4 linked regions of the Lonchura striata genome follow. The protein of the gene in region 1 purifies or fractionates together with the protein of each later gene. This does not show direct contact. Links are inferred from orthologs where the notes say so. Each region holds a gene or a part of one and is shown in the gene's direction. Other genes may lie near its edges. The genes, in order: tubulin alpha-1A chain, HAX1, TCP11L2 and DNAJB6.

What was found.
Region 2: the proteins of tubulin alpha-1A chain (region 1) and HAX1 purify together in Homo sapiens (affinity purification with mass spectrometry; 3 studies listed by BioGRID and IntAct, with this or other methods). This does not show direct contact. The link is inferred for Lonchura striata from reciprocal best matches to the Homo sapiens genes TUBA1A and HAX1.
Region 3: the proteins of tubulin alpha-1A chain (region 1) and TCP11L2 purify together in Homo sapiens (affinity purification with mass spectrometry; 3 studies listed by BioGRID and IntAct, counting the BioPlex papers as one, with this or other methods). This does not show direct contact. The link is inferred for Lonchura striata from reciprocal best matches to the Homo sapiens genes TUBA1A and TCP11L2.
Region 4: the proteins of tubulin alpha-1A chain (region 1) and DNAJB6 purify together in Homo sapiens (pull-down; 3 studies listed by BioGRID and IntAct, with this or other methods). This does not show direct contact. The link is inferred for Lonchura striata from reciprocal best matches to the Homo sapiens genes TUBA1A and DNAJB6.

Annotation. Positions count from the first base shown.
Region 1 is NC_134629.1:5,996,879-6,004,791, forward strand, and holds the start of tubulin alpha-1A chain, read left to right. Parts: upstream 1-4,898; 5' UTR 4,899-5,017; coding exon 5,018-5,020; intron 5,021-6,327; coding exon 6,328-6,550; intron 6,551-6,632; coding exon 6,633-6,781; intron 6,782-7,389; coding exon 7,390-7,913. UniProt on the Homo sapiens protein: Tubulin is the major constituent of microtubules, a cylinder consisting of laterally associated linear protofilaments composed of alpha- and beta-tubulin heterodimers.
Region 2 is NC_134635.1:1,009,149-1,015,540, reverse strand, and holds HAX1 (HCLS1-associated protein X-1), read left to right. Parts: upstream 1-4,064; 5' UTR 4,065-4,154; coding exon 4,155-4,207; intron 4,208-4,354; coding exon 4,355-4,563; intron 4,564-4,643; coding exon 4,644-4,774; intron 4,775-4,894; coding exon 4,895-4,940; intron 4,941-5,056; coding exon 5,057-5,172; intron 5,173-5,266; coding exon 5,267-5,417; intron 5,418-5,490; coding exon 5,491-5,609; 3' UTR 5,610-5,649; intron 5,650-5,737; 3' UTR 5,738-5,872; downstream 5,873-6,392. Other genes in the region: UBAP2L (ubiquitin-associated protein 2-like), read left to right, coding at 232-299, 592-789, 1,248-1,298, 1,774-1,869. UniProt on the Homo sapiens protein: Recruits the Arp2/3 complex to the cell cortex and regulates reorganization of the cortical actin cytoskeleton via its interaction with KCNC3 and the Arp2/3 complex. Slows down the rate of inactivation of KCNC3 channels. Promotes GNA13-mediated cell migration.
Region 3 is NC_134607.1:20,691,778-20,699,243, forward strand, and holds the start of TCP11L2 (T-complex protein 11-like protein 2), read left to right. Parts: upstream 1-4,458; 5' UTR 4,459-4,761; exon of another isoform or gene 4,762-4,855; intron 4,856-4,876; exon of another isoform or gene 4,877-4,956; intron 4,957-7,466. UniProt on the Homo sapiens protein: Promotes the migration of muscle-derived satellite cells (MDSCs) during differentiation throught interaction with FMNL2 and therefore may participate in microfilament assembly.
Region 4 is NC_134603.1:148,335,699-148,342,647, reverse strand, and holds the start of DNAJB6 (dnaJ homolog subfamily B member 6), read left to right. Parts: upstream 1-3,931; 5' UTR 3,932-4,043; intron 4,044-5,136; exon of another isoform or gene 5,137-5,384; intron 5,385-6,949. UniProt on the Homo sapiens protein: Has a stimulatory effect on the ATPase activity of HSP70 in a dose-dependent and time-dependent manner and hence acts as a co-chaperone of HSP70. Plays an indispensable role in the organization of KRT8/KRT18 filaments.

The DNA of each region.
Region 1 (7,913 bases):
GTGGGAGATGGGCGTGACCATGGGCGGGGAAAGAGGGGCGGAGGGTTGGGGGCCCCGAAGGTTGGGGGTCCCGAGGGTTGGGGCTCCCGAGGGTTTGGGGTCCCGAGGGTTGGGGGCCCCGAGGGCTGGGGGTCCCGAGGGCTGGGGTCCCAAGGGCTGGGGGCCCCGAAGGTTGGGGGTCCCGAGGGTTGGGGACCTCGAGGGTTGGGGGGTCCCGAGGGCTGGGGGGTCCCGAGGGTTGGGGGTGTTGGGCGGGCAGACAAGGCGCCATTGGCGGGGTCAGAAGGGTCGGAAGGCATTAGGGGCAGAGGGTCGGGGGAACACTGGTGTGGGGGGGCTTTAGGGGGCTCTACGAGAGGCTTTAGAGGCGGGGGGCTTTGCGGTATTGAGGCGGTGGGCTCAGTCGGCGGCTGGATGTGTCCCTGAAGCCCCTGTCCCCATCCTTAGGTGTTGCATCTGCCCAGGGAGCGCCCCGGCCCCGCGTGGGTTGGAGGCCTCGGGGGTCCAGTAATCCCTCTCCGCACCCCCGTACCCATCCCGGTTCCGTTCCCGTGGGAAGCCCCGCGGGCTCCCGTCGCGCCGGCTCCTGTGACCGCCGCCGCCCTGCTCCCTGCCAGCCCCGGGGCTGCTCCCCGGGAGAACCCACGCGGGGCAGGTCCTGTGGGGCAGGACGGACGGGGCCGGGGGAGCATCTCACGCCCACCCCCGGGGTGCAGTGCCCCGTCCCACCCTGCCTCCCCAGCTCTGGGTTGGTTTGAAGGTAGGAGTCACGTTCCAAAAGCCAGAGAGGGGTTTGGGACAGCATGGGGACAGAATTACAGACCCCACGCTCCCCGGTGTCAATCCCTGGGCACCCTTCCCAGCCTGGGCACCTCAGTGTCCCTCCCCTCCCTGAGCCCCCGCTGTCCCCGCACTCCCCGGGCACATTCTCGGTGCTGGCACACGCCCGGGGCCGGGGTGCCCGTTGTCCCAGCAGCACCCACCCCTGAGCCCCCGATACCACCGGAGCCCCCCGAGACACCACCCCGCTGGTTCCGGGGCCCTGCTGGGGGCCAGGGGATGCTTTAGGGGGGCCGGGCCGAGGGCGGACCCCTCCGACAGCAGGGTCTCTCCCACCTCACCCCCACCCCTCCGCCGCCCCGCTCCTTTATTCCCGGCTTTGCCGCATTGCGGAACCGCCCCGCACGCAGGCGGTGCCGCAGCCCCCTCCCCACGGGCAGCGCGCCCGCAGCCCCCCGCACCCCACGGCTGCTCCCCCGCGCCCTCCCCTGCTCCCGCAGTGCTCCCCCCCCATCCCGGGGCTCAGTCTCCCTTTTGTCGTAGCTCCGGGAGGGGGCGGGAAGGGTTGCGGGGTGGCGGGAGGGGGCACCGGGACACCGAGGCTGCGGGAACACCGGTGACACCTCCCTGCCTCTTCCCACGGGGAATGCGGCCACCCGCTGCCTCAAACACTGGGGTTGGAGGAGTTTTCCCTCTGCCCTTCGGGTGGGGCAGGGGCGCGGTCAGGGGTGGGTGCCACCCCTCCGCGGGTCCACCCCCTAAGGGCCACCTTCGGCCAGCCGGGGGGCGGCGGGGACCCTCCACCACACCCCGGCCTCATCCGGCACCCCGGAAAGGAGCGGCTCCCCCCGCCCCCCGAGCTGCCCTGTCTCTCCATCTGAATGAACCTGTCACATCGATGGTGGCAGCGGATGGACAGACAGACAGACAGAGCTGGGTTCTGCGGGAAAACAGGCTAAAAATAGCAGCAGCCTGAGTCTGGGTTGTCAGCCCCGAGCTAGCACAGCCCCTGATGAGGCTGAGACCCCTCGATCCCTGGGGATGGCATGTCCCGGCCGTGGGGTTCGAGGTCACCAATTTGTCATCCCCAGGAAGGGCCCAAACTGGGGGAGGCTGGGAATCTCGGCTGTGCCACGGGCACGAGTCCAGCAGCCAGGAAATCAGCCCACACAGGAGGAGATGCCAGCTCTGGGAGCCCCCGAGTCACCCAGCCCGGCTGGGGACAGCCATGGGGACTCTGTGCAGCCAGGAGGGACCCCGGGAGGGTGCAGGGTCGGTCGCACCCAGTGGCACCGGGGTGGTGGACAGGGTGGGGGGAGGACAGCAACCGTCACCAGGAGCCACCACGTTGCTACCAACAGTCAACAGAGCACAGGCGAGTGGGAGTGCAGGAGCTGGGGAGGCTGGGAGCTGTGCCAGCCACCCCGCGCTGGCACTCAGCAGGGCTGGATCCTGGGGGGCCACAGGGCTGCTGACCTCCACGGCAGGGTGCAGTAGGGTGGGCACTGGGGGACCCCAGGGCCTGTGTACCCCCCACTTGGCATAGCAGAGTGAGCAGGCGCTGGGGGTCCTGTGCCCCACCCTCAGGGTGAGGCAGTGGGGGTCCCGAGGATGGTACCCCACCCTCAGGGTGAGGCACTGGGGGTCCCGAGGATGGTACCCCACCCTCAGGGTGAGGCACTGGGGGTCCCGAGGATGGTACCCCACCCTCAGGGTGAGGCACTGGGGGTCCCGAGGATGGTACCCCACCCTCAGGGTGAGGCACTGGGGGTCCCGAGGATGGTACCCCACCCTCAGGGTGAGGCACTGGGGGTCCCGAGGATGGTACCCCACCCTCAGGGTGAGGCACTGGGGGTCCCGAGGATGGTACCCCACCCTCAGGGTGAGGCAGTGGGGGTCCCGAGGGTGGTGTCCCACCCTCAGGGTAAGGCACTGGGGGTCCCAAGGATGGTGCCCCACCCTCGGGGTCAGGCACCGGGGGTCCCGAGGGTGGTGCCTCACCCACAGCCCAGCAGGGTGAGGCAGTGGGGGTCCCGGGGATGGTGTCCCCACTGTGACAATAAGACGAGGCAGTGGTGAGAACCCAGCCTTGTCTGCCTGCACCCCCCCCACCCACCAGGCCCCAGGATGGATGTTGGGGAGGGGGATGTGGGGGAGGGGGGGGTCCCCAGCCTGTCTCCTAGCAACCGGTCTCCTAGCAACCCCACCAGTTGCCTGGCAGCAGTCGGTGCAGGACTTGTGGTCGTCCATACCCAAGGAGATGGGAGGGGGCTGGGGGGGCACCAGTGGGGCTGTGGCACTCGGTGCCCCTCACCCTACACCCCACATCACCCACCGGGGCTGGGCCGCCCCCTGCCCTATGGGGCACCTCCCTCAGGGCAATAGGGTGGGAGGGGGGGTCCCTCCTTAGCTTGGAGAGTGGTCTCCGAGGCAGGGGGCTGCTGTGAGCCCCCAAAATCTCTGTCTTTGGGGACACAATGGGGACACCCTGAGAGGCTCCATGCTGGTGCTGATCACTTGGGACGGCAGGAGAACAAAGGCAGGAGGCATTTCCCATGTAGGGATGGACCTACAGTGGGGTCAGGGCTAGGGGCTGAGCTGCTTTGGGGTCTATCTGCTATCTGCCATCGGGACCAGCCTGGTGGGAGCCAAATCTCCTGGTTTTTCTCTACTCAGCAAAGCCAGGGCCACCTGGTCCTTTGTTCTGGTGGGCGATGCCCAAATCCCATCCCCTCTTTGTCTGCAGCTTTGCAGCCCCAGCAGCGCCCCAGAAACAGGGCACCAGCAGGGGCATGGGGCTGGCAGCGGGGACATGGGGCTGGCAGCGGGGACATGGGGATGGTGCTGGGGACATTGGTTTGGCAGCAGGGACATGGGAACCTTGAATCTGCCCAGAAATCTGCATAATGTGGGAAACAGCAGGGAAAAAAGCTGATTTCTCAGCAGGGGGGGCATCCTGGCAGCTCCACCTGCAGCAGCTGGGGCCATGCATGTGTTGTGGGGTCACTCTGCAGGGCCCGAGCCCCCCAGCACTCCTGGCTTGGGGAGACAACCCCCAGCCTCTGTGGGCTTTGCAAGAACAAACAGGAGGGGGAACCCCCCCCCAGGAGTATGAAACCCCAGGGTTGTGGGGCTGGTGGCTCGGGGGGGCTGTGCAGGGGCTGCAGCAGATGGAGGGGTGGCCAGGGGACGCGTGTCCCACTGTCCCAGCTGTGTCCCAACCACCAGCTGCCGCCCAGCAGCTGCTGCTGTCCGAGCCTCCTGCCCAAAACTGCCCTGGGGGCTTTTGTCCCCTGTGTCCTCCCGCTGTTGCTCACCCCCTGGCCCTGCTCCCTGCTCGTCCCCAGCTGCCCGGGGGGATGAGTCTTTGTCCCTCGGCTGGGCCCCGCAGCGCTGGTTCCCACTGCCCGAGCAGACAAAGAGGCGCTGGAAGGGCTGGGCACGGCAGGGAAAGGGCCGGGACAGGCGCGGAGCCATGGCAGGGACGTGGCTGAGAACCAGGGCACCGTGGCACGGCCAGGGAGGGGGACAGTGTCCCTGGGGATGGGAACAGGGATGAGAACAATGCCCCTGGGGACGGGGACCAGGGCGTGGCTGGCTGGAAATGGGGGCCAGAGTGTGACAAGGGATGGGAACAACGGGATGGCTGCGGACAGAGACCAGGGTGTGGCCGGGGATAACCGGGAGCACGGGCAGTGGCCAGACAAGGGGGAAGGCTGCATCATGGATGGGGACCAGGGCCTGGTCCTACCCCGTGTACCGGCAGCCCCGGGACCAAGAGACCCATAACGGGCAGTAGGAAGGAGAACGGGAACGAGAAGAACGGCGGGACATGGGGGGAAGGGGCCGTGGGGGGATGGGGACCGTGGGATGGAGACCTGAGCGTGACCGCTGGCTCAGCCAAGACCGGGGACCGGGGCGTGGCAGGGACGGTGCCAAGGACACAGCCGGGGCCCCTCCGGCGGCGGGGCCGGGCCGTGGCCGCCGCAGCCCCCGGGCCCCCCTCCCGCACCGCCCGGCCTTTGTCTGCGGCTGCGGGGGGGCATTACCTCATCCCGGGCCGCCAATGGCCGCCACCGCCGCCGGCCCCGCCGCCCCCCCGGCCCCGCCGCCCGCCCCGCTTCGCTCCGCCCCGCCGCCGCTATAAAGCCCCGCACCGAGCCCCGCGCTCCGCCGCGCCTCTTACATCGACCGCCTCAGCGTCGGGCTGTGAGACCGCCCCGGACCGACCGCCGCCATGGTGAGGGGGTGCGGGGGGGTCGGGGGCGCGTCTCTATTCCCACAGTCCCTGTTCCCTTGGTCTCTTTATCCCGCATTCCCGCCGGCCCCATCCCTCCCGCCCCCGGACCTGTGGTTTTCCCCGGTCCCAATCCCCACCCTCCCATCGTAGTCTCCGATTTTCATCCCCCCCCCAACCCCGGCTCCCGTCTCGGCGTGTCTCCGGTCCCCAACCCCTCCCGATCGCCATTCCCAAGGGCTTCTCGTCCACCCCTCCCGGGATGAGCCCTCGGCGCGGGACTCCTCCCGCACCGGGCGTGGCTCCCGTTACACCGAGTAAAATGTGTCGCCCGGGACCCAGCCCCGAGTGTACGCCCGGTTAAATGGGCCTGCAAGGGTCTTTCTGTCTCCCCCGGGACCGACCCCCGAGCCCACAGCGGGCGTGGCTCCCGTTAAACCGGGCAAGATGGGACCTCCAGGACTTAGCACAAAGCTTCCATAGGGCGTGGCTCCCGTTAAACCAGGCAGGATGAGACCCCCGGGACTCAGCACTGAGCTACCATAGGGCGTGGCTCCCGTTAAACCGGCCAGGATGGGTCCCCGGAGCTAAACCCGTACAGGGCGTGGCACCGGTTGAAAGGGGCAGAATCGGACTCCCGTAATTCAGTACCGAGCCACCGTCCGTCCCGGGGCGTGGCTCCCGTTAAACCAGGCAGGAGAGACCCTCTTTTCCCCCCGTCCCGGTGCTGAGCCCTCAGCCTGTGCAGGGCGTGGCCCCGGTATAATACGGGAGAAAGTGTCCCCGGTGCGGGGTGGGCAGGGCGGAATGAGCACCCCAGTGCTGAGCACCCCATCCCGCACCAGAGGTCGAGGCACGGCAGGATGAGACCCCACCCCACCACCCCACGCCAGTCCCGCACTGGGCGTGGCCGTGCTTCCACTGGGGCTCGAGTGGGCAGGAGGAGCCCACGGTGCTGAGCCACGATGGGGCTTTGCTGGGTCTCATCAGGGCAGGGTGGGGCAGGATGGGAACCCCGGGGCTCCCTGTCTCACCTTGGGCACAGTCCCAGTCCCTCAGGGCAGGATGAGCCACACGTCCTGAGCTCCCCATCCCCCACAGGCAGGGTGCCAGCAGTGATGGGCACATGACAGGATGGGACCCTCTGCACTGGGTGCACCTCCAGACCCTGAACAATGGGTGCGCCCGGGCAGGATCTGGCCCCAGCCAGGCTCGGGCAGGGACCCTTCCCAGCTGGGTGCCAGCCCGGTGGGTGCTGGGGTGGGACAGAGGGGACAAAAGGGGTGACCCGGTGCCGCGTGCCCCCGCAGCGCGAGTGCATCTCCATCCACGTGGGCCAAGCGGGCGTGCAGATCGGCAATGCCTGCTGGGAGCTGTACTGCCTGGAGCACGGCATCCAGCCCGACGGGCAGATGCCCAGCGACAAGACCATCGGCGGGGGGGACGACTCCTTCAACACCTTCTTCAGCGAGACGGGCGCCGGCAAGCACGTGCCCCGGGCCGTGTTCGTGGACCTGGAGCCCACGGTGATCGGTGAGGGCGCGGGGGGCGGCCGGCGGGGCGGGCGCTGGCGGCGGGCGCCGGGCGCTAACGGGGCCCGGGGCTGTCCCCGCAGACGAGGTGCGCACCGGGACGTACCGGCAGCTCTTCCACCCCGAGCAGCTGATCACGGGCAAGGAGGATGCGGCCAACAACTACGCCCGCGGGCACTACACCATCGGGAAGGAGATCATCGACCTGGTCCTGGACCGCATCCGCAAGCTGGTAGGGGCACTGGGGGTGCAGGTGGCAGGCGAGGACAAAGCCCCCATTCTGTCTCGCTCTCCCTTCCAGACTCGCTGGGTTGGGTTTAGATTTAATTTATTAATTAATGTTAATCCTGTTGTGCAGTGGCTGCCATTGGCCGGCAGCGGGACGCGGCGCAGCTGGAGCGGCTCCACAGCGCCGCAGCCCCCGGGCGCTGCCGGTGCTGAGCTCGGCAATTCCCTCTTTGTTCCCACTTGGCTCCTGACGTGGCCGAGTCCAGCTGCGTGTGCTGGGGATGGGCAGCCCCAAGCCGGTCCATTCCAGAGTCATGTGGCTGTGACAGTTTATGGTCAAAATTGTCTCCACTCTGCTGCTGAGCTGGTGGCAATTCTGCACTTTGAGGTGCCCCTGAGCACTGTCTCACCCCAAAGGCCAAGCAGCTTCCCTGGGTGATACACCGTGAGTCAGTGGGTAACAGATGGAGTTGGTGCCACCCCGTCCCCATCCTGCTGACTCTGGCTCTGCTGCTGGAAAGCCCCCAAATATCCTTGTGAGGCCATCAAGAGGAAGGAGTAACTTCTGCTGCCTGGAGTAAACATGCCTCCCCACCTCGTGTCTCCTTGCAGGCTGACCAGTGCACAGGGCTGCAGGGCTTCCTGGTGTTCCACAGCTTTGGCGGTGGCACCGGCTCTGGCTTCACCTCCCTGCTGATGGAGCGGCTCTCTGTCGACTACGGCAAGAAGTCCAAGCTGGAGTTCTCCATCTACCCGGCCCCACAGGTGTCCACGGCTGTGGTGGAGCCCTACAACTCCATCCTCACCACCCACACCACCCTGGAGCACTCCGACTGCGCCTTCATGGTGGACAACGAGGCCATCTACGACATCTGCCGCCGCAACCTGGACATCGAGCGTCCCACCTACACCAACCTCAACAGGTTGATAGGCCAGATCGTGTCCTCCATCACGGCCTCACTGCGCTTTGATGGAGCCCTGAATGTCGACCTGACGGAATTCCAGACCAACCTGGTGCCCTACCCCCGCATCCACTTTCCTCTGGCCACCTACGCCCCGGTCATCTCTGCTGAGAAGGCTTATCACGAGCAGCTCTCGGTGGCCGAGATCACCAACGCCTGCTTCGAGCCGGCCAA
Region 2 (6,392 bases), on another chromosome or scaffold:
TGCCCTTCAGCTGGTTTCTGGAGGAATTTTGAAACAGTGTGTCCAGCGCCAAATAACTTTTATTGGGTGCTTTGCATGTGATCATGCCTTGGCCTGGCTGCCCAGGCCAGTCTGTCTGTAGATCTTTTCTGACTGCTGGAGCTCTCCACCAGGTACTGCTGGTGTTAGCAGCAGGCAGCTCCTGCTGACCCACTGGCTGCTGCCTAACACCCACCTCTCCCTTCTCCCCAGGAGTATCCGTGACATCCAGTAATACAGGCGTGCCAGACATCTCGGGCTCTGTCTACTCCAAAACTCAGGTTAGTGTCTCTGTGCTTCCTGCATCGCTGGGGAGGAGAAGCCAAGCTCTGAGACAGCCTCTCTGGGCAATGAGGTCTCTTCCACTTGGATCAGCCAGCCAGGGAGAAGGGAAATGCTTGACCTTTCCCAGCTTACAGCAAATCCAAGCCCAGAAAGAGCCATAGGAAGATACTCTCTATCCGTTCTCTGTACTGCCGGCTGACTCTGGGCTTGTGATGGGTAGAGATGGGGAGGAGCACGGTGCCAGCCTGACTCCCCGCCCTTATTCTGCCGTTGGCATCTCCTTCTTAGCAATCCTTCGAGAAGCAGGGATTTCACACTGGAACCCCAGCAGCCTCCTTCAACCTGCCTTCGGCGCTGGGCAGCGGCGGCCCCATCAACCCTGCGACAGCAGCGGCATACCCCCCCACCCCCTTCATGCACATCCTGACCCCGCATCAGCAGCCTCACTCGCAGATCCTCCACCACCACCTGCAGCAGGATGGGCAGGTAAGCAATACCCCTGGCACCTCAGCCCCTTGCTGGGCTATCTCCTAGGGCTCTTGCTCCCCCTTTACATCCCTGGTCCCTCTCTCCCTCCCTGCCTCCCTCTCTCATGCTCTGCAGCGGACACATGCAGTGACAGGCACATGCTCAGACCTGCACATACACACAGGGCTGTAAGAGGATGAGGTGAGAAGGAAGGCCTGGGGTGTGCTCTGCCAGGGTGGGTACTCAGCACAACCCCCTGGCTACCAGCCTGCACCAGATAGGGCCAGGTAGTGCCCCCTCATGCAGACACATCTGGGGCACCCCACCCCCCCCATCCTCAGAGGGGCAGCTCCGCAGACCAGCACCAAAGGGGTTCCTCGCCATAGCCATGACCCTGCAGGAGCTTTCAGGTCTAACCGTGGATTTCTATTGTCATAGTTTGTCCCTTTATTTTACATATCCTGGTACTGCAACAGCTTCCATATTTGCAGATGATACTGTGCTGCCAACGCCAGCAGGAGGATCAGGTAATGAACTCTCTGAAAATGCATTTGCCGTGGGCTCTGCCCCTGCCCCTAAGGCTCCCCAGGATCACGTAGCCCCTTCCTTCTCCCCCATGGCCCTGCGAGGTGAGGAGAGGCCCTCAGTCAGTAGATGCACACACATACATTTGCGCGCAGACACAACCCACACCGACCCTTCCCTGTCTCCTCTCTCCCTGCTGCCCACAGCCCTGTGTGCTGCTGGCCTGGAGCAAGGTGTGGAGCCGAGGGCGGGTGCTGGGGTACGGCAGGTGCAGCTGCAAGGTGTGCTGGAGGCTGCCCCAGCGCCAGGGAGCCGAGTTGGGCTGAGATGGATCGGCGGCTGCTGAGGAGCCGTAGCCCAGAGCACCTGGCCAGGGCCGTCTCTGGGGCCCAGGCATGGCAGTGTGACCCCGCAGAGTAGGCCAGGGGTGCTTCCCCTGCACTCACCACCTGCTTCTCCTTCTGCCCTTTCCCGCAGAGCGGCTCCGGGCAGCGCAGCCAAGGCAGCTCCATCCCCCAGAAATCCCAGGCCAACAAGTCCGCCTACAACAGCTACAGCTGGGGCGCCAACTGAGGCCGGGCCCCTCGCCACCACTTGCTTCCGGAAGAGAATCCCAGTGCCCCTGATGATGAGGAAGGATCCCAGGGAGGAGAGAGCCCTGCAGCGGGGAGCGCCCGGGCCCCCAGCCCCAGCAGGGCCCCGCAGGGCAGGCCGCAGGCACCTCTGCGTTGTCTGTCTTCAGCCACTTTCCTGTTGTATGTAATATAGAATTTGTATTTTTTTCTTTTTTTTTTTCCTTTTTTTTTTTTTTTCTCTCTCTCCTCATTCAGATATGAACCGTTTGCCGTAGGGGCCTTTTTTGGTTTTTACTCCTTTCTATCCCCTCTCCCATCCAGCTGCCCCAGAATCTCTCAGATCCAAAGGAGTGGAAGCTGCGAGTCGCCTACAGCAAACCCCCTTATTATTAGGATTAAGACCAGTAATTGATATGAGCAGCATTGTAAGATTAATTAGTTGAAGTGTTTTTTTTGTACCGTGTTCTAAATTTAATGGATAAATGTGTCTTGTATATAAAAACAAAAACCCCATGCTGTCCTCTAGTTCTCTCATTTCTCCCCCACCCCGTCGAGGGGTCCCCCCTGGTATTTTATGTTCTCCATCTGCGTCCCTCCATCCTCATGGGCCCAGAGTGCAGGTCCTGCCCTGCTTGCACGCTGTAAGTATCTTCTGCTTTTGGGTTGGGGATTTTTTCTTTTTTTTTTCCTTTTTTTTTTCTGTTTTGTGGGGTTTGGTTTGGTTTTTTGGGTTTTTTTTTTTTTTTGTTTTTTTTTTTGGTTGGTTGGTTTTTTTCTATGCAGTCCAGATCTTGTATTTTTCAGTTCTACCTGATCCCTTCAGCTGCAGCCCCAAGCGGGGATTTACTGAAGAGAATAAAGATCACAAAGTGATGTGTGTATTTTTTCCACCTTCTCAGCCTCGTTCCCTATTTTTGGTGCAGGGGGTGGGTGGCCCTGGGCGGTGGGGGCAGTGCTTCCCCCACCCCTCCCCAGCTTCTTGCTGGTGTTTTTGTCCCCTCATTTTGTGGGTTTTTCCTTTTCCCAGCTGCAGCACTGGGCAGACCCTCACCCTCTGACCACACTGCTTCCTGCTGAGCTCTGCCTGCTGTCCCCACTGCTCTGGTGCTGCTGCTGCTCCCTTTGGGGGTTGGGGGGTGCTCTCCCTAGCCCCTCCTCCCCACAGTCATGGGGCAGCCTGGGACGGTGGGCACATGACGGAATCTGTGGTATTTAAATTAGTCCGATTGTAGAAAGCCTCTGTCTTTCAGCCCCGCTGCCAAAGAAGAAGTGGTAATTTGTGCTGGTTTTCAAGGTTGTTTATTCTTGCTTATCTGTAACGTGTTCTGCTGCCCTGCCGCAGCTCTGTCCTGCAGGGCAGCATGTGGGGCTCTGCCCTCAGTGGGATGTGACAAACATTAAATACCAGAAACTCCCTGGGCTGGATTTACAATAACGTGCCAATATCTGTCACCTATGTTGGACAGTGTGTCCCCAGCCTAAACCAAATGAAAAATGCCAATACCAGAGTAAAACATGAAAGACATGAAGAAGAAGACAAGGCATACCAAATTTCCTCTATCTTGTCCCCTTTGAACCCCTTATATAGAATCCTAAAATTCTACTTTGGCACCTATGCCACACTAATTATTGCTTATATCAAACACTCAGAGCTTGTAACTCATCCTGTAAGATTGAAAACTTTTCCATGGCCAGAGATCACAGCCAGTGTCTCTGGGGGCTCTGTCCAGGGGGTTCCTGACCCCTGCCAGGGTCCCAGGGCAGCCAGAAGGACGCCCTGGACTCCCACAGGCACCGGGGAGGGCAGCGGGACCGCTGGGAGCCGTGCCCGAGCTCCAGGTAAGGGGCTGGGGGCGCCGCCGGGGCCCTCGGGCCCTGCGCGGGCCGGGCTGGGCCCGTGGGGCTCGCTGGGCGCGGAGAACGGCGGCGGGAGCACACGGGCCTGCAGCCCGCACCCGCCCCCGGTGCCCCGGGACACTCCCCGGTAGCTCGTGCCAACGGGGCTGGGCAGCCCTCACTCCCCGGTAGCTCGTGCGAACGGGCCCGGGGCCGCTCCAGGCCTCGGGGCCCTCACTCCCGGTAGCTCGTGCGAACCGGCCCGGGCCGCGGGGCACCGGGCGCGCTCCGGGCTCCGGTCCCCGTCACAGCACGGCCGCGCTGCCGCAGCGCCGCGCGACACCCGGCGGCGCTTTACGGCCGCAGCGCTTGGCGGCAGCGCGACCCGGGCGCGGCGGCGGGACGGGGGAGCGGGGCCCGGAGGGGCCCGCAGGGACCCAGAGCGGGATGAGCTTCTACGACGTCTTTCGCGGCTTCTTCGGGTTTCCGGGACCGTGCAGGTGACCGGGACTCCGCCCGTCCCCTGGGTGCCCCCGGCCTCGCCCACACAGACCCTGTCCGTCTCTCAACCGCCACTTGCCCCACCGGCCCCGGGCCTGCCCCGCTGGCTCCGGGCTCTCCGGTGTCTCACTGCCGCGGTCCCGCAGACCCCGGGACCCGCTGTTCGGCGGCGCGGCGTGGGACGAGGAGGAGGAGGAGGACGATGGCGGCCCGTCCATGTCGCAGCCCCCCCAGGACTTCGGCTTCGGATTCAGCCCTGGCTCCTCCCGCGGCGCCTTCGAGGAGCTGTTCCGGGACATGGGCGAGCTCCTGGGCGTCTTTGGGGGCTTCTGGGCCGAGCCCCAGCAGCCTTTCGGTGGGTACGGGAAGGGCTGAGCGAGCTTCTTGGGGCCGCTCGGAGCCCCTCGGCCTGACCGACGCCCCTGTGCTGCCCAGAGCCCGCCCTGCCTGGCCCCGCTGAAGGCAGCGCAAGGCGACCGCTGCGGGACTCGATGCTGAAGCACCCGGAGAGTCCCCCCGCCGGCGCGGCCCCGGGGAGTCCCCGGCCATGGAGACCCTTCTTAGGGGTGGGTGAGGGCTCTGGGTTCTGCCTCCCGCAGGCTCTGCAGCGGTAGCCAGCTCTGTGCTGCTGTAGTGCTGCCTTAGTGTCGTGCTTGGCCTCAGTGCTCCGTGGCTTTGTCTTGCAGCTGGAAGATGCTCACCGGGCTCCTCCTGGCCTCAAGGAAGACCAAGGTGGGTGCTGGCAGCAGGGGCTGAGGGCTCTGCCCTCCCTGCTCCACCCACCTGTGCTGCCACAGCCCCGGGGGCATGTCCCCATGCTGCGGCCCCCATCTTGCATCTTCCCCCAGACCTGGACTCCCAGATCTCCTCCGCTGGGCTGGGGACCATCCTGAGACCCAGCGAACCCAAGTCCCACTCTTATTTCCAGAGCGTCTCTGTCACCACAGTGACTCTCCCTGATGGGGTGAGTGTCCCTGCAGGCGCAGCAGGGCTGTGGGGGACCTGGGGACACCGTCCCCGTGGCTGGGGAGTCTCTCAGGGCTCGGTGCTCTGCACAGGGGGTGGAGGAGCGCCGTACCGTGCAGGACAGCCAGGGCCGCCGGGAGACAACGGTGACGCGCCGGAGGGGGGACCAGGCCTTCATCACCACCACCAAGGAGGATGGGCAGCAGAAGGACTACCGGGAGGAGGTGGTCAACATGGATGACCGTGAGTGGGGGTCTGGGGAGGATGCAAAGAGTGGACAGGGGCCCCGCTGAGGGAGCTCTCCCTGCCCTCGCAGGGGAGCTGGCACAGTTCGCTGGCACATGGCCGCAGCAAGAAGAGCTTCGTGCTGCCAACCCGAGCGACCCCTCATCTGTGCTGGGCAGATTCTTCCGACGCTGGTTCTCGAGCTGGTAGCTGTGCCCAGGCCTGATTGAGCAGCCCCTGTGTGTGACAGGTGCGGGCTGGGGGGACCCTGGGCTTGCCAGGTCTGTCAGAGCAGGCAGTGGGCAGCAGCCTTTTCTCACCACCGATTTTTGTTGTAGATGGGTCAGATCTTGCTGGAAAGTGGTGCCTGGGCTGGAGGCTGTCCACCTTCTGCAGTGCTGCAGAGCCACAGGGAGCCCTGTGGGGGGTTAAGTGTATGTGTGTACAGAGCAATAAAGTCTATTTATGCTAAACGGTGACTTTCCTGCTCCTTCAGACTGGCATCTCATGCGTTTGGAGGCAGATTCCCCCTGTCCACCAGGATGAGTGGGGGGGTGCCTCAGGTGTGCAGGTGATTGCTGGGTTCCTGTGCCTGCACTGCTCCCTTCTTACCTCCCTCTCCCATTTCCCTGCCTGATGCTGTGCTAATGTCTCCCCTGGGCCACTTTTGAGGGCCTGGCCCAGCCTGGAGGCCTTTCCAGGACTTCTTTATTAGTGTTGACTGCAGCTGTGGCTCAGGCAGGGATGTGGCAGGAATAAAGGGGGCTCCTGGCCATGAAATACCTGTGCCTGCTCACCTGAGTGAGGTCTTGGCTCCCCACAGCCACTTGGGGATCAGGGTGTTCCTACCCGGCCTTGCCCTTCTGGGGTGCAGCACTGTCACAAGGTGTCCCCGGCCACACACAGGACTCTGGTCCCTGCCAGGCGGCTCCCGTGGTGCAGCCATGATTGGTTTAAAGTCTGCACATAATCACCCACCTGGCTGTGGGGCTC
Region 3 (7,466 bases), on another chromosome or scaffold:
CCGCTCCGGCCACGCTTCTTTGCTTCCCCACGCCGACTCGAGCCTGCTGCCTTCATCTTCCCCGCGGAGCGAGTCCCGGCGCAGGACAGGAAAGGAAAGGAAAGGCTGAGCAGGCCTTCCCCTGTGCCACGGGCTCCAGCTGGAGCTCGAGGCTCTGAATGTATCTATTTCTCTATTTGATTACAGCAAGAAATTAAATCGGATTTTGTCTTGGAAAATGTTTTCTTTTCTTGGTCTTTGATTACCGTATATTCTTCCTTTACATCTGTATATATATATATATATACACAGGTTTTTAAAAATTATGTTGAGTATTATGTAGAAACAGTTACTCATAAAGTCAGCTTGATCACAGCCCCTGATGTCAGCCTGTCAAATACAGTTCCACCTCTGCCAAGGCTTAGGATGAACTGAACTGTTTAGTCTATACATGATGTTCTAGTAACTACTAGAATGGGTGGTAAGAGGAGAATTTATACTGAATTGTCTCAGGCATTTTGTTAGCACAATTCTGTTAAATGCACAAATCTGAAAGGATCTTGGTGTGACTGCAGGTTATGAGCACAACAGAAGTTACTGCCCTGACTCTAACAAGTAACAGAGAGCTTGCATAGGGTAAGGAGATTGTCTTAAATATTTCCTAGAGGTGGCTGAAGCTGGCATGAGGAGGCATGCACTAAAGCAGTGAGGGACCCTCAGAATAGTCTGTCTTCCTCAATACAATGACAGTAAAAATCTTCAGCAGCAAACAAAGCACCCTAGGAAAGTTACAACAGCAGTTTTCACCATGAACATCTAGCCACAGCCTTAGTTGTCTCACACTTTATGAGAAGGGGATATCAGATTTCTATTTAGGAAGGGCCTAGAAAGGCTAGGATTTTTAGCAGTACCCTAAGACCCAGGATTTTAGCTCTGAAGCCATTTATTTCAGAGTTTACTATAAGAACTGAGCCATATGGACTTCACCAGAGAGAATAATCACGAGGATCATCAATGCTAAGTATCAAGGGATGTAAATCTGTTTCAGGGAGCAAGGTAGTATAGGTAGCTCACTATTTCTCCTTTTCTCACTTGGTACTGACAAGGAAAATGTTAGCAATGTACTATCTAAAGATTTTTCTCACCATAGAACCAATTCAAGCTATTTTTGACCAAGAGTACTATTCTACAAATAGCTTTTTGTTGTATTTGACACTGTGGGTCAAACTCTTATTTCCTTTGTACAGAAAGACCAATTGCTGTGATGAGGGGAGTATGCATTAAGAATTTGCTGAGTTGGTAAAGTTGGTAGACACTGAAGACTGGTGTGGTTGGGGAAGTTACTGATGTACCATTTTCTCTCAGAAGTGTCAATATTCTGCTTTGCCTTTGAACTTGAAAACAAATAGTTCAGTGGGGAGAAGTAGCAACCCTGTTTGCCTCTCACAAGACTTATTTATCTTTGGAATACAGGAAACTCCACAGAAGAACAAGCCAAGAAAGAATCCTTACACCTGCCTTGTAGTCTTTCTGTCTTGACGTTGAGCCTATTATCAAATCTGGGCCTGATGATCTCAGTCAACCCAGAGTCTTAACATCCATCTGTTAGCACTAAAGCCAATCTGCCTGGCTCAGTTATTAGGATTAGGGAAAAATGTCTTGTGACTTTAAATTATGTTCTCAACTTAGTTGTCATGGGCCCTGGCATAAACCATAGAATGCCTTGCCCTTTCCCTCTCCTCCCACGCTAACCATTGAGTTAGCCACATATTGGGACATTTCTGACATCTTATCCACTCAGTAGCTGCCTTGCTGTTTGCTGGATAAAGCAGAGCATTAATTATAGGCTTTACTATCTTTGCCAGTTTTACTGGTAGCAGTAAGGAAGGTTATGAGCCAACTTGCTGCAAACAGTGAGCACAAACTAGTCCTTAATTTCAATTAACAGTGTTTCTGTAGTGAAAGGCTAAGAGTTAAAGTTAACTTGAGACATTAGTCAAAATTCCAAATATGTACCTCTGTGTGGTTTAACTCACCCAGGAAATAAGCACCACAGTTTCTCTCTCTCACCCCACATGTCCCCAGTGGGATGAGGGAGAGAATCAGAAGGGTAAAAGTGAGAAAACTTGCGAGTTGAGATAAAATAAGTTTAATAATTTAAAAAAATTAAATTGTAATAAAAATGAAAATAACAAAGGGGTAAATAAAATACAAGAAAGACAAGTGAAGCAAATTAAAACAATTTCTCACCAGCAAGTGGTTGATGGCCAGCCAGTCCCCCAGCTGTGCTCCTGCACCAACATTCCCACAGTTTTATTGCTGACCATAATGCCTTATGGTATGGAATATCCCCTGGGTCAGTGGGGTCAGCTGTCCTGGCTGTGTCCTCTCCCAACTTCTTGTGCACCTTCCTCCTGGCTGCTGAGGTGGGGTGAGAGGAAGAAAAGGCTTTGACTCAGTGTAAGCACTGGTTACTAGTAACTAAAGCATCCAAAACACAGCCCCTTGCCAATTATGAGGAAGAAAATTGACTCTATCCCAGCCAAATCCAGGACATACATGCATGTGCTATATAAGACACAAGGACATTGATCTTGTTAATTGAGTAGAACAAATTTAAAGGCTGTACAATTATTTTTCTGGCTGACATTGGGGACACCAGAAAGTGAGAAAAGAGTGTAATTTCTCTGTGGAGAAAATCTCTCCAATGGGTAATCTACTTCAAAATCCATATAGTGGCCTATAGCTTCAGTGCCTCTGGATCAGGAAAGAATTGAAACCAAAAAGAAGGGGAAGTGCTGAGTACTGCAGTGTCTAACTTATTCTTGGCTTTTGGACCAGAATCTCAAAGCATGTCCTTGATGCCCCAGTTATATATGACAGATGTACATCTCTGATATGGTTGGTAGATAGATAGATAGATAGATAGATAGATAGATAGATAGATAGATGATAGAGCAAGCTATGCACTTAAGAATGGGCTCCAAAACGGCTGGTGGGCTTGTGAGAGAAGAATACTACTATAGCTGAAAAAAAAATTGTTTTAAAGCCATCCCTCTCTGGAATCCTATCTCTCACTCCATGATTTAGGTGGAGATACTTTTAGGCTGAAATGCTTTCCCCCCTGAAGTTATCTTTTATATCAGTATTTAGAAGCTACCTCACTTGGTGAGGCTGATCCCTTTCCCTCTCTGTGCAAGCTAGAAACCAGGCCACTGAGCAGCACAGGTTTCCACGAGTGCCAGTCCACAGAGACACAAAATGGACCCTGAGTCACTGGCCCTGATGTTTTTGCAAGTACTCTTTATGCAGTTTTAGCTGGTTAATTGATAAAAGATGTCAGTAGCCATCACAGCAAAAACTCATGTTTTCCCCATATTTCAGATGGTGTCTAAGAAAAAATTGACATATAAAATAATAACAAATTATGTCCTTGGAAGTCGTAACAGGTCTGTACAAAGCAGCCCATCTTTATACCACCACAGTCTTCTCCAAAGCCCTTTTGAGCCTCTTTCAGACTGTCATTGCCATGTGACATGCACAAAGTGGGGCAAAGTAGTGCAAATACAGTTACTTAAAACATTGTCTTCTTTATAGAAGCTGCCGGATTAGGCTGTTGGACTTAATCCCATTTAATGTCTCTGAAGGCCAGGCTGACAGGTGCTCTGCATCGCTGCGAGCAAGCGCTCCCTCTCCAGCTGGGCACTTGGCACTTGCGTAGCCAAACTCTGTTCCCTGCTTGGAGCCCTTGATTTTATAGCAGAGGTTAATGGGACCTACAGTGGGCTTTGGTCTACCCGAATACAACATCCGTTCTGTGTAGTTCACCACGTTTGCTAAAGGTTATCTGCAGGAAGGGGAGCTCTGTCTTCGTGATGGGCAAGGCTGGCGTTAGTGAGCTCTTGCCTCAGAGGTGACTGCCGGTGTTTTGCCCTCCGTGCTTCCTGCTGGGTGAGGCAGTGGTGGCACGTAGCTCCTGTGACAGGAAGAGGTGATGACCCTGACAGGTACTGCTGGCCCGGTGGGTGCGTGAAGCTGCCAGTGCGTGAGGTCAATACAGCAATAAGCAAAGCATTTCTAATGACAGTGCTGCACTGCCCCGAGCTGCGTTCCTCAGTGGGGGCTCAGCAGGCGTCCGGACACCGCAGCGAGCCGGGTGACTAACCTCAGCACGGCGCCCAGTGGCTCCCCTGAAGCTGCGGCGGCGGGGGGCACTGGGGAGCCAAGATGGCGCGTGGAGGGGCGCCTGGCTATCCCACATCGATAGGGTAAGGAAACCAGGGCAAGAACATTGTTAAAGGCGTGCACGCACAGCCTGAGGCGCTGCCCTATCCCCTGGGGGGCACAGCCCCTTTCCCCCAAGGCCGGGCTGTGCGGGGTCGGTGTGCCCGTCCCCGAGCCGGCCCGGGGGCGGAGCCGGCCCGGGTGGACGGGGCCCTTCCGTAAACAGCACCCGGCCCGCCCCCGGCCTACCCCCGTGCGCCAGCACAGCCCATTGCCAGCACGGGGGAGTCCGCCCGAGCATCTGGCCGTGTCGCCGCATATTTCTCCACGCTTAGTGTCGGTCGCAGGCAGAATGAGGAGATGCGGGCAGATTCTACTGGCATAAGTGGAGGCTGGCCCAAGCGCCTCGGATAACTCGCCGATGGCAGGCAGGAAAAGATGACGCGCCTCCCCCCTTCCGCCGTCAGAGATGGACGTGCCCGAGGAAGACACTAAATAGTCCGGGCTGGGTCTTTAAATCGGAGGGGGGGTCCCGTGCGGCCCCGGCGAGCGGCAGCGGTGAGTGACCGGCGGGGGACGGCGGGGCAGGACGGCGAGGGGCAGCGGTGAGTGACCGGCGGGGGACGGCGGGGCAGGACGGCGAGGGGCAGCGGTGAGTGACCGGCGGGGGACAGCGGGGCAGGGCTGCTCCGGCCGGCCGGCGGAGCTGACACGCGGCGGGGTGTCCGGACACGCTGGGCGATGAGTCGCGGGGTGAGTCCGGGACAGCGCTGGCTCGGGGGCTGCCACCCTCCTGTGCGGTGTGGGTGGCAGGGAGGTGGTGGACTGGCCCGTCGCCCTGCTGCCCCGGTGGGGCACCCGCTGCAGCAGGTGGGTTTCGCAGTCCCTGCGCTGGGCCCGTAGTTCTCCCCTTGCCCCGCGTTTCCTGGGCTTTCCCATCCCTTGGTGTCCGCCGGGACGACCCGCCCCGACGGGCGCAGCCGCAGGGTCCCCCCGTGCAGCCCCGGCCGGCAGGGCTGGGGCACCCCGAGCCCTCCCCGGGCCGTGGGTGCCCGGGCTCGCCTTCTCGGGGGCTGACACGGAGTGTTCCCTCCTTGCTTCTCCCCCGGACTCCCTCCCCCCGGGCCCCTCCTTGGAAACGCTGTTTGTTTTGGTCGGCGGGTGCCAAACTCCTGCCTTTGCTAAGTGTTAAAAACATGGGGCCGGGGGAGGAGACAGGCAGCGAAACAGATGGAGGAAGAGGAGGAGCCGCCGGCTCCCCTCGGTGTCGCTGTCCCCGCGGGGAGGGCAGCGGGCAGGACCGGCCCGGGCTCCCCGTGCATCACCGACCTGTCCGGGCAGCGCTCGGGCCCCTCGGCCGCATCTCACTCTCGCCGAAACAGTTTTTTTAAGCCTTCACGAAAAGAAGTGTCTGTTCCGAGAGTTGTGGAACTGGAAAGCTAAAGGGGAGAAATGTCGGCTGTAAGCTGTGAAAAATGAAGCGGGTGGAAATGCGAGTAACTCCTAACAAAGGCTCTTTTCTGTTCTCGTGTCGTGAGTGCTGACAGAGGTGGAGTCAGTGAAAGGGAAACTCGAGACCAAATGAGATTCAGTCGGTGCCAGCTTGAAGATAGTAAGAATGTGAACCCAGCAGAATAAATAAAGTTAAGACCTTCATAGTGGCAAAACTGGACAGAGCACTCATAAGTCTCTGTGTCCATGCACACTTCCTTTGAACAAAGCAGGGCTGTGGAAAACCTGTGTTTGAAGATGGTATCTGAAGAAAATACCCAGCAAACTGTGAAACTCTTCCTCCCTCCTCCCCCGAGATGCTTTGTAAAATTATTTCCAAAGCGAACCGACAGAAATAAAAAGTGTGTTTGTGCCTTCTAAAACTAACCTGATTTGCAGTCTTGATAAGTTTTAAATGAAGAATCGAGTTGGGTAATGCAGTAACCAGTTAAGGACAAGATGTCTTTAAGCATCTACAGTTATGTTTTAATTTTCTTTTTACTAAAAAAGAATAATCCTCACCTGTCTAAATAGCAGAAATGTGCGAATTTATTTCTTCATTGTTACATTAGCTAGAATCTTTGGGTTGGTACACGTAGAAGATACTTTTAGCTTGGTCTTCCAAAGAGTTTATCCTTAAAAATCCCTACAGTATGGTACTGATTGAAAGAAAGCAAATAGTGTGATGAAGCCCACTGTGATGGTGTCCAACCTAATATAAATGTAAATGTGAGTGGTCTTTAATGCAACTGAGTAAATCAGGTTGTAACCTCAGGCTTACTCTTTAATAGAACAGTTGGGATATTAATATATGTATTAAAATAACAGCCTAATATGTAATAATTAATAAGCATTAAAAAAAAATAAACAAGATGGTATTCTTTATCCAAGATGGCGAGTTACAAAGAGATCTTGCAAGGCTGAAGAGCTTTTTAAAATATTTTTCTGTGGCCATTATACTAATTTAAACTTAAAGTTCTAAATTAACTTGGTCATTTGTTATTAATGAGAACTTCTGTGCTATCTACAAAAATGTAAGGAAAATCAGTTCTTCCAGTGTATGCTATAAAGCAAAGACTAAGTGACTCAGTTGTCTATTGTAACTAATTAGAAATGTCATTTTTGGTTTGTGCTTACCTTTCATATGCTCAATGACTTATTTTTGCTTAAGCGTCTTAGGTGGCCCCTGCAGGTTCTGCTTGTATATTCATGTACATTTATTTTGATGTATTTATCTTTTAAACTTAGAATTTAGCAATAATGTTCTGAATCTTCAGAGTACACCCATTCTTACTTCCCATTGTGCTTGAAGCATTCTACTAGGAAATGTATTTATTGTGGTAAAAGATTGCAGTGGTTTTTTGCGTGTCACCTCCTGTTGCAGTGTTTAAATACTTACTTAAGCCTTCTGAAGCACTCTACTGACATCTCTGCTGTCTGTATGTGTGCATATATTGTGGGAGCAGGTATGGTCTTGATACATCAAAATGCCATGTGCATCTTTGAAATGCAGCTGATTATTTGCACTGATCGTTTGCTGGGATTAGTGCTTAAGGACTTAATTTGTACAGACTTCTAATTCTACCTTAACCACTTGATCTTCTTGGAAATCAAGATGGGGTGGAAAATGGCAGTGCTGACTTGCCTTCATGGCTGCTTTTAGTGCTTCTCTCAGAAGAACCTTTCAAAGCTGAATATTTATTAACATTGTCATACCTAGAGGTAAGAGGAAGTTCGTGAAATGATGATGTGGAAATATGTGAGCGTATTTG
Region 4 (6,949 bases), on another chromosome or scaffold:
CAAAAGCATTCTCTTAGCTCAGCTTTTTGCACACAAAGAGGAGTCCAGATAAACTTGCAGCCTCTAGATTACCTAAGACACACACACTACAGATGAAAACTGAGGTTGTGCTCAGCAGGAAAACACTGGAGAATGCAAGAGAAATTGGGTTATTTTGTGCTTTTAATGCTTCTACTGAAAGTTTTAAACTCTAGGTGTATTGCACATATTTCAAGTCTAATTGTTTCTGATAAACTATCAGGAAAAAGTTAATGCTTACATTTAATTAAGTGGCACTTTCCAGAATTACTTTGCCAGCAGTACTATAATTAGATGATATGAGAACAGTCTTTGATACATATGCTCATATTCTTTGTTAACACCAAAAATAGAATCTGTAAATCTGTAAATAGAAGAACGGGATGCATTACACAGCAGGGCAGAGCAGCAGGCTGGGAAGGCTACAGCCATTACCACCTCAGGAGGATTAACATTAATGTCTCTCTAATGCAGCATTTTTAAACATTTCTTGTGTTCTGATGGGCTTTATATAATTGACCTCCATAAATCATGAAAGATGGTTTAAAAAAAGCATCTGGGAACCCTGTGAATTGCCAATACCTCCTGGAACACTGCCACGTGATTTCCATCATTAGGTTATAGCTGCCAGTTAGGGCTGAATTCATCTCACTTAACTTCAGGCATCTGTGAGGTGGCATTTAGGGAGAAAAGGCAGCCCTGGGACAGAGCTCTGGTGGGTGGTTCCTTTCCTAAAACACATCTCCAAAGAGGGTGGAAGGAACTGAGCCCTGGATGTGTCCTCTCCTCCCCTCTCTTCACAGTCAATGGCCTTGAACTGGATGTTCGAGACAGCTGAATTTGGGTGAGATGACAAAACCTTTCTCTCATGTTCCCAGAGGAGAGTTGAAAATTCTTAAACAATTAAGATTCTTTGATAGCAGCTTTACTCTGACTCAATGACTTGGCACTTGGATATCAGCCTGGATCTCTGATACCAGCTTTAACAGACCCACAGACCCTCTTTTGTTATTGGAATGTTGATGCTCTGCCAGCAACTCCAGGCTTCTGCTGCAAGCAGCAAGCCATAAAAACACAGGACACTTTGACTTCATACTTTTGAAAATACCTTTGAAGGTGTTCTGAATCAAAAAGCTTTTCAGTTTTATTAGTCCTATACATAGAGCTAATTAAAAATGTTAATGAGCCAGTTATGCAATCCTTTTGGATTTCAATAAAACATTCAGTACTCTCTCTCCCAGGATCCTTGTGGACAAAATGTCCAGCACACAGCTGGATAAACACATCATGGGATGGGCGAGCGTTTGGCTCACGGGTCAGCACCAAGGGTTGCAGTGGATGGGGTGACAGCAGGCTGGTGTCCTGTCCCCACTGGGGTTCCACAGGGCCCAGCCTCAGCCCTGCGCTCCTCAACATCCTCATCAATGACTCGGATGGGATACTAACTAAGTTTGCCAAGGACACTAAACTGGGAGGAGTTGCTGACTCCCTTGAGGGAAGGGAGGCCCTGCAGAGACCCAGACAAATCAGAGGGCTGGGCAATCACCAACCATTTGAAGTTCAACCAGGGCAATCCTGGATGTGTGTGCTTCGGTATCCCCTGCAGTACCTCTTCTGGTGGGCTTTGCCACATGCTATTTTAATTGAAATCACCTGCCTTTCCCTGTAACAGAGAACAGAAAATTAAATATTGTGTGCCAATTTGAGCAAATGTTTAAAAAGTAAATAATTCTTGTTATTGTTCAGGAGATAATCTGAGCTATCAATGACCATAAGTTAAAAAAAAAGAGATCCCCTAATAAATTATATTTGTAATTGGTGGCTCTGTAAACTGCCTCTTCAGAGAAGTATTGGGAAATGTCTTCTTATCTTTTTCAAAGACAAGCATAAACCAATTAAATTTTTTTTATTTAAAAAATAATTATTTTGTTTTCATCTATAACTTTGTTAGGAAACATTTATTAACATTCTCAGTGTTTTGCTGTAGAAAATGCTAAACTACGCTGCCCTCAGCTATGAGCAGGCAATTTACCTTCTCATACCTTCCTTTCTCCAAATGCAAAATTGGTCTCTAAGCTTTCCCAAATGTTATTCCTGTATCTGAAGGATGCTAAAGCAGGGCTATGCTGTTTAGAGTCAGAACAGTGTTAGAAAATCGCTGGGCAGATTAATGTAATGATAACAAATTGTGTTAAAGAAGCCATGGTCCTGGTTGCATTGATGCAGGCAGTGTTTTGATTCCAACCCTCTAGTTCCATATGGAATCATGCTTCTTTGCCATGTTCTGCTTGCTTGGCTAAACAGAAAGTTTTATGGTTGGCATCCATCATATTTAACTGTAAATATAAAATCTGCTCTTATTAAAGCAAAGAGACTTCCTCGTGTGACTTTTGTCTTGTTTACTACAGCTCAGGTTTTAGTACTCTTCACTTTTTTTCTCCCCTGTAATTGGTAATGAAAGGCTGGAGAAAAACCATTATTTCAAGAACAAGAAATGTTTAAAGGATTAAATCAAAATTTTGTATGGTCTCCTCCCTCACCTCACAATACTGACCTGCCTTTGCATTTGCCAGGCTGTGAATCCTCTGAGGTCTGAACTTGGCCCATTAGGAAGAGCCAGTCTAACCCACTAATCCTTTGGGTGTTTTCTTTCCCAGTGGACCAACAACTTGGACTTCACAGCTACTTGCTGATGAGAAACTAATAATGGAGTGAGGTGTCTCTCTGCTCTAATTTTGAAGAATTGTTTCCACGACCACAACATAGCATCAACAATCAACAGTATTTCTTTTGAAGCTTGCATTTCCCCAAAGCACCAAGCCTGTACTTAGGGTTGTCCTACTACTTGTCCTGCTGATTTGTTTTAGGTTTTCCTCTTCCTTATTGCAAGCTGGCTTTTGTCTTTTTGAACTGACCCCACTCCCACACAAACACTTCCTAAATAATGCGTAGCCTTTTCATTGAATTTATTTTGGAAGCATACATTTTAGGCGTGGAAACTCTCTAACTTCATTTTGGTGAGCTATAAATTAATGCCTCCACTTTTTAAATTAGGGGCAAGAAATATAATTTTACAGCAATTTAAAGCATGGATAAAATCTATATTTTAGAATTAAAATAGTAACTTTGTTGCTTTATACTTTGCTCTCAACCATGGCACTCAGAAAACCACATACTTGAATATAACACAAAGGATGCTCCAATATATTCAGCCAGTGCAGGGCGCTACATGCATGGAGAGGAATCTGACCTCAAAGGAATTGTGTGCCAGAGTTACAATTTTTGAGACTCCAACTTTAAACACACAAAGGGGAAAAATTTTTGGTATCTCACCTTGAGCACCCAAACTCACCTATTCAAAGAATGTTTGTTAAAATTGTTGTTTTTTCACCTTTTCCTACAGCACCACACCCAGGCATCACTTTTTGCAATTCCCTCACAGAATCCCAGCAGGGGTCAGGCTGGAAGGGTGATCCCAGAGCCCGTGGCACAGGATTGTGTTTAGATGGCTCTGGAATACCCAGTGTGGGAGACTCCACAGCTCCTCTGGGCAGCCTGTTCCAGTGCACGGTCACTGCACACTAAAGAAGTTCTCCCTCACGTTCAGGTGGAAATTCCGTGCCTCAGTTTCTGCCCATTGCCTCATCTCCTCTTGCTGGAGCAGAGCCTTGTCCATGCTCTTGCCACCCCCAGTTTTTGAGAGTACAGACACAAAAGTGGAAGAATTTTTGCCATCTCACTTCTCAGCTATTCAAAGAAGGTTTCTTAACCTTTTTCTTTTTCTTTTTTGCCTGTTTTGCTGCACACCCGGCCCTCAGAAGCCCCGCCCCGGCGCCGCGGGCCGCCGGCAGGGGGCGCTCTCCGCTCGCACGGGAGCCCGGCGGGGCCGTTCCAGAAACTTCCGGAAGCGGCGGGGCGGAAGCGGCGGCGCGCGCTGGCGGCACTTCCTGTTTGCGGCCGCTGCCGTTGGTGCCGGCGGGAGCGGCGGGCGGGGAGCGGCGGCCGCGCTGCGGAGCCACCGGCGGGTGAGCGCGGGGACCTCGGCCCGGGGCTGCCCGGCCGCGGCCGTGCGGCGGGCGGAGGGCGGCGGGGAGCGGCCGCTTGGCCGGGCCGCGGTGCCGGGCAGCGGCGTGCCTGGTAGCGGGGCCTGCTGGCGGCGGTGGAGCGGCCGCGGGTGCCGCGGCGGCTCTGCTCGGCCTTGGCGGGGCTCGGGGGTCGCTGGGAGCTCGGGGAGGCAGCGGCTGGCCAGGGCTGCCCCCGGCGGGACAAACCCCGGGACGTTCGGTGCCAGCCCGCTCTGCCGCAAGGCAGAAAAAAAATTCCGGATTCCCATTCCTTGCTCACAGGGGTGTCAACTCCCAGGGGATGAGGGCGAGCCTCGTTTCGTTAAACACACCTTGTCCTTAAAGCGCTTTTTGTCGCAGGGTGCTGCCTGGGCGGCTTGCGAGCGTTGTGGCCTCCTTTTTTCTGCCAGTCCCTGAAAGGAGATGGCGATGAGCTGCGGGCCGTGCCTGCAGACAGAGAGAGGATCAGTGGAAATGGCCTTAAGATGAGACGGCGTGATTCAGATTAGATAGTGTAAAAAATAGTTCACATTTAGGGTGGCCAGCCATTGGAATAGGTTGCCTAGGGTGGTGGTGGAGTCGGCAGCTTTGGAAGTGTTCGGGAGCGGCTGGATGTGGCGCGGGGCGGGTTTGTGGTTAAGGGACGCAGTGGCGGTGTTGGGGGGTGTTTGCCCTGGGTGATCTCAGAGGCGGTGTTGGGGATGTTTGCCCTGGGTGATCTCGGTGGCGGTGTTGGGGGGTGTTTGCCCTGGATAATCTCAGAGGCGGTGTTGGGGGGTGTTTGCCCTGGATAATCTCAGTGGCGGTGTTGGGGGGTCTTTGCCCTGGGTGATCTCGGTGGCGGTGTTGGGGGGTGTTTGCCCTGGGTGATCTCAGTGGCGGTGTTGGGGGTGTTTGCCCTGGGTGATCTCAGTGGCGGTGTTGGGGGTGTTTGCCCTGGATAATCTCAGTGGCGGTGTTGGGGGTGTTTGCCCTGGGTGATCTCAGAGGCGGTGTTGGGGGGTGTTTGCCCTGGGTGATCTCGGTGGCGGTGTTGGGGGGTGTTTGCCCTGGGTGATCTCGGTGGCGGTGTTGGGGGTGTTTGCCCTGGGTGATCTCAGAGGCGTTTTCCACCCCTGGTGACCGTACGCCAAACGAGCTGTGATTCTCCCCCGATGGAAGCAGTTCGGTTTCGTTGCTCAGTGTTGATTACTCGGGGTGCCGGCAGGAGGGAGGTTTGTTGTGGGTGAGGTCGGCAGAGGTCGGGTGTTTTGAGCTCGCTGTTGCCAGGTTCCGAGCCGAGGTGAAAACTGATACTGCCAGGTAAGGAACACTGTTTGTCGTCAGTATTTGTTGCACTTCAGAGGGGACAGCAGGCTGGGTTTACCACTCGCGTTCCTGTTTGCACCAACGCTTTGTGTTGTGTTGCTGTCTGAGCTCTCCTTGGCTGCTGAAAACGTGCTGCGACCATGCTAACAAAGGTGTTAGAAATAATTCACAATACTGAACAAATCTGTTCTAAATTGTGGTAATAATAAACTACTTATTTAGGCACGGTAGCATGAAATCTGCGTTTACTATGTGCAAATAGTTAGACTTGTGTCATTGCATAGTCAGTGATCAAACCCAAGAGTTTTTAGAGTATAAAGTGTCAAAAAGTGATAAGAACAAGGTGCTGACATAAGGGACCACTGGGATGAAGCAAGGCTCTGCCTCTCTGGTCTTGCAGCAGAGGTTGCAGTCACTGCTGTCTGCTGACCTTAATTTTTGTTTACTCTTTGGAGATCCTTGTACTCCAGTTAGGGATTTTATGTTCAGCTGGTGATCAAGAGCCTAATAGTGAAAATACCATTTAGTTTGATGGATTATGTTGTCAAAGAAGATTTGTTTGGACCAATGAATAAGTGTATTTACAGATCTTGTCTGCGTGATTACTTTTTTTATTGCAAACAACCAGAATTTTAACTATTGCACAACACTAGTCTAACTTTGTGTACTCCCCTTGGCTCCTGTGCTGACTTCTCAGTGGAGAATAAGAGTGTTGAAAATAGAAGTTAAATTAGTGTTAAATTTTCTTAAATAATCTCTATTAGAGTAGAAATTTAAATTGCTGCTTTTATTGGCAGCACTGTTTAGACTACAATGCTACTAATAATGTAAACTAAATCTGTAAAGTGCAGAGTTCCCCTTGTTCTCCATCAGGCTTGTCTTTTTAGTACTTGTGCTTTCAAACTACAGCAGATTCTTATCCAGGCAGCTTCTCTCTCTGGTTATTTTCTCTGTCCTTCCCAGATCGATGCAGATTGCTAATTTATCTTGGCAGAGCTTGGGAAGAAGGCATGCAGGGCTTTACTTTTGTGTAACACTGAAGTTTTAGTTAGAGGCTAACGTGTTTTGGTACTGACTTTTTAAAAATAGATGAATAGATTTCTTTGCGAACTCTATTCTTTCTTTTATCCATTAGAAGTTTTGGAATGTATGCGAGGAGAGGGAATAATTTACGTTAAATCATCATCATCATTTTATGTAGGATATAGGCGTTCCTAACAGCGCACGAGAAACGACCACCAGGTTTTTGGTCTGTTGTGCGTCTGTGCCTCAACGCGCTCGTTGGCGCAGCGAGGTCTGCGAGCGGGGGCGGCGGGTGCGCTCTGCCCGCTCCGGAGCCCGGCACGGGCGGAAATGTCCGCGCCCCTGCGAGCCCGGGAGGGCACGGCCCGGCCCCTGCGAGCCCGGGAGGGCACGGCCCGGCCCCTGCGAGCCCGGGAGGGCACGGCCCGGCCCCTGCGAGCCCGGGAGGGCACAGCCCACCCTGCACAGCCCTGCGAGCCCGGGAGGGCACGGCCCGCCCTGCACTGCACAGCCCGCACTGCACTCAGACTTCCCGG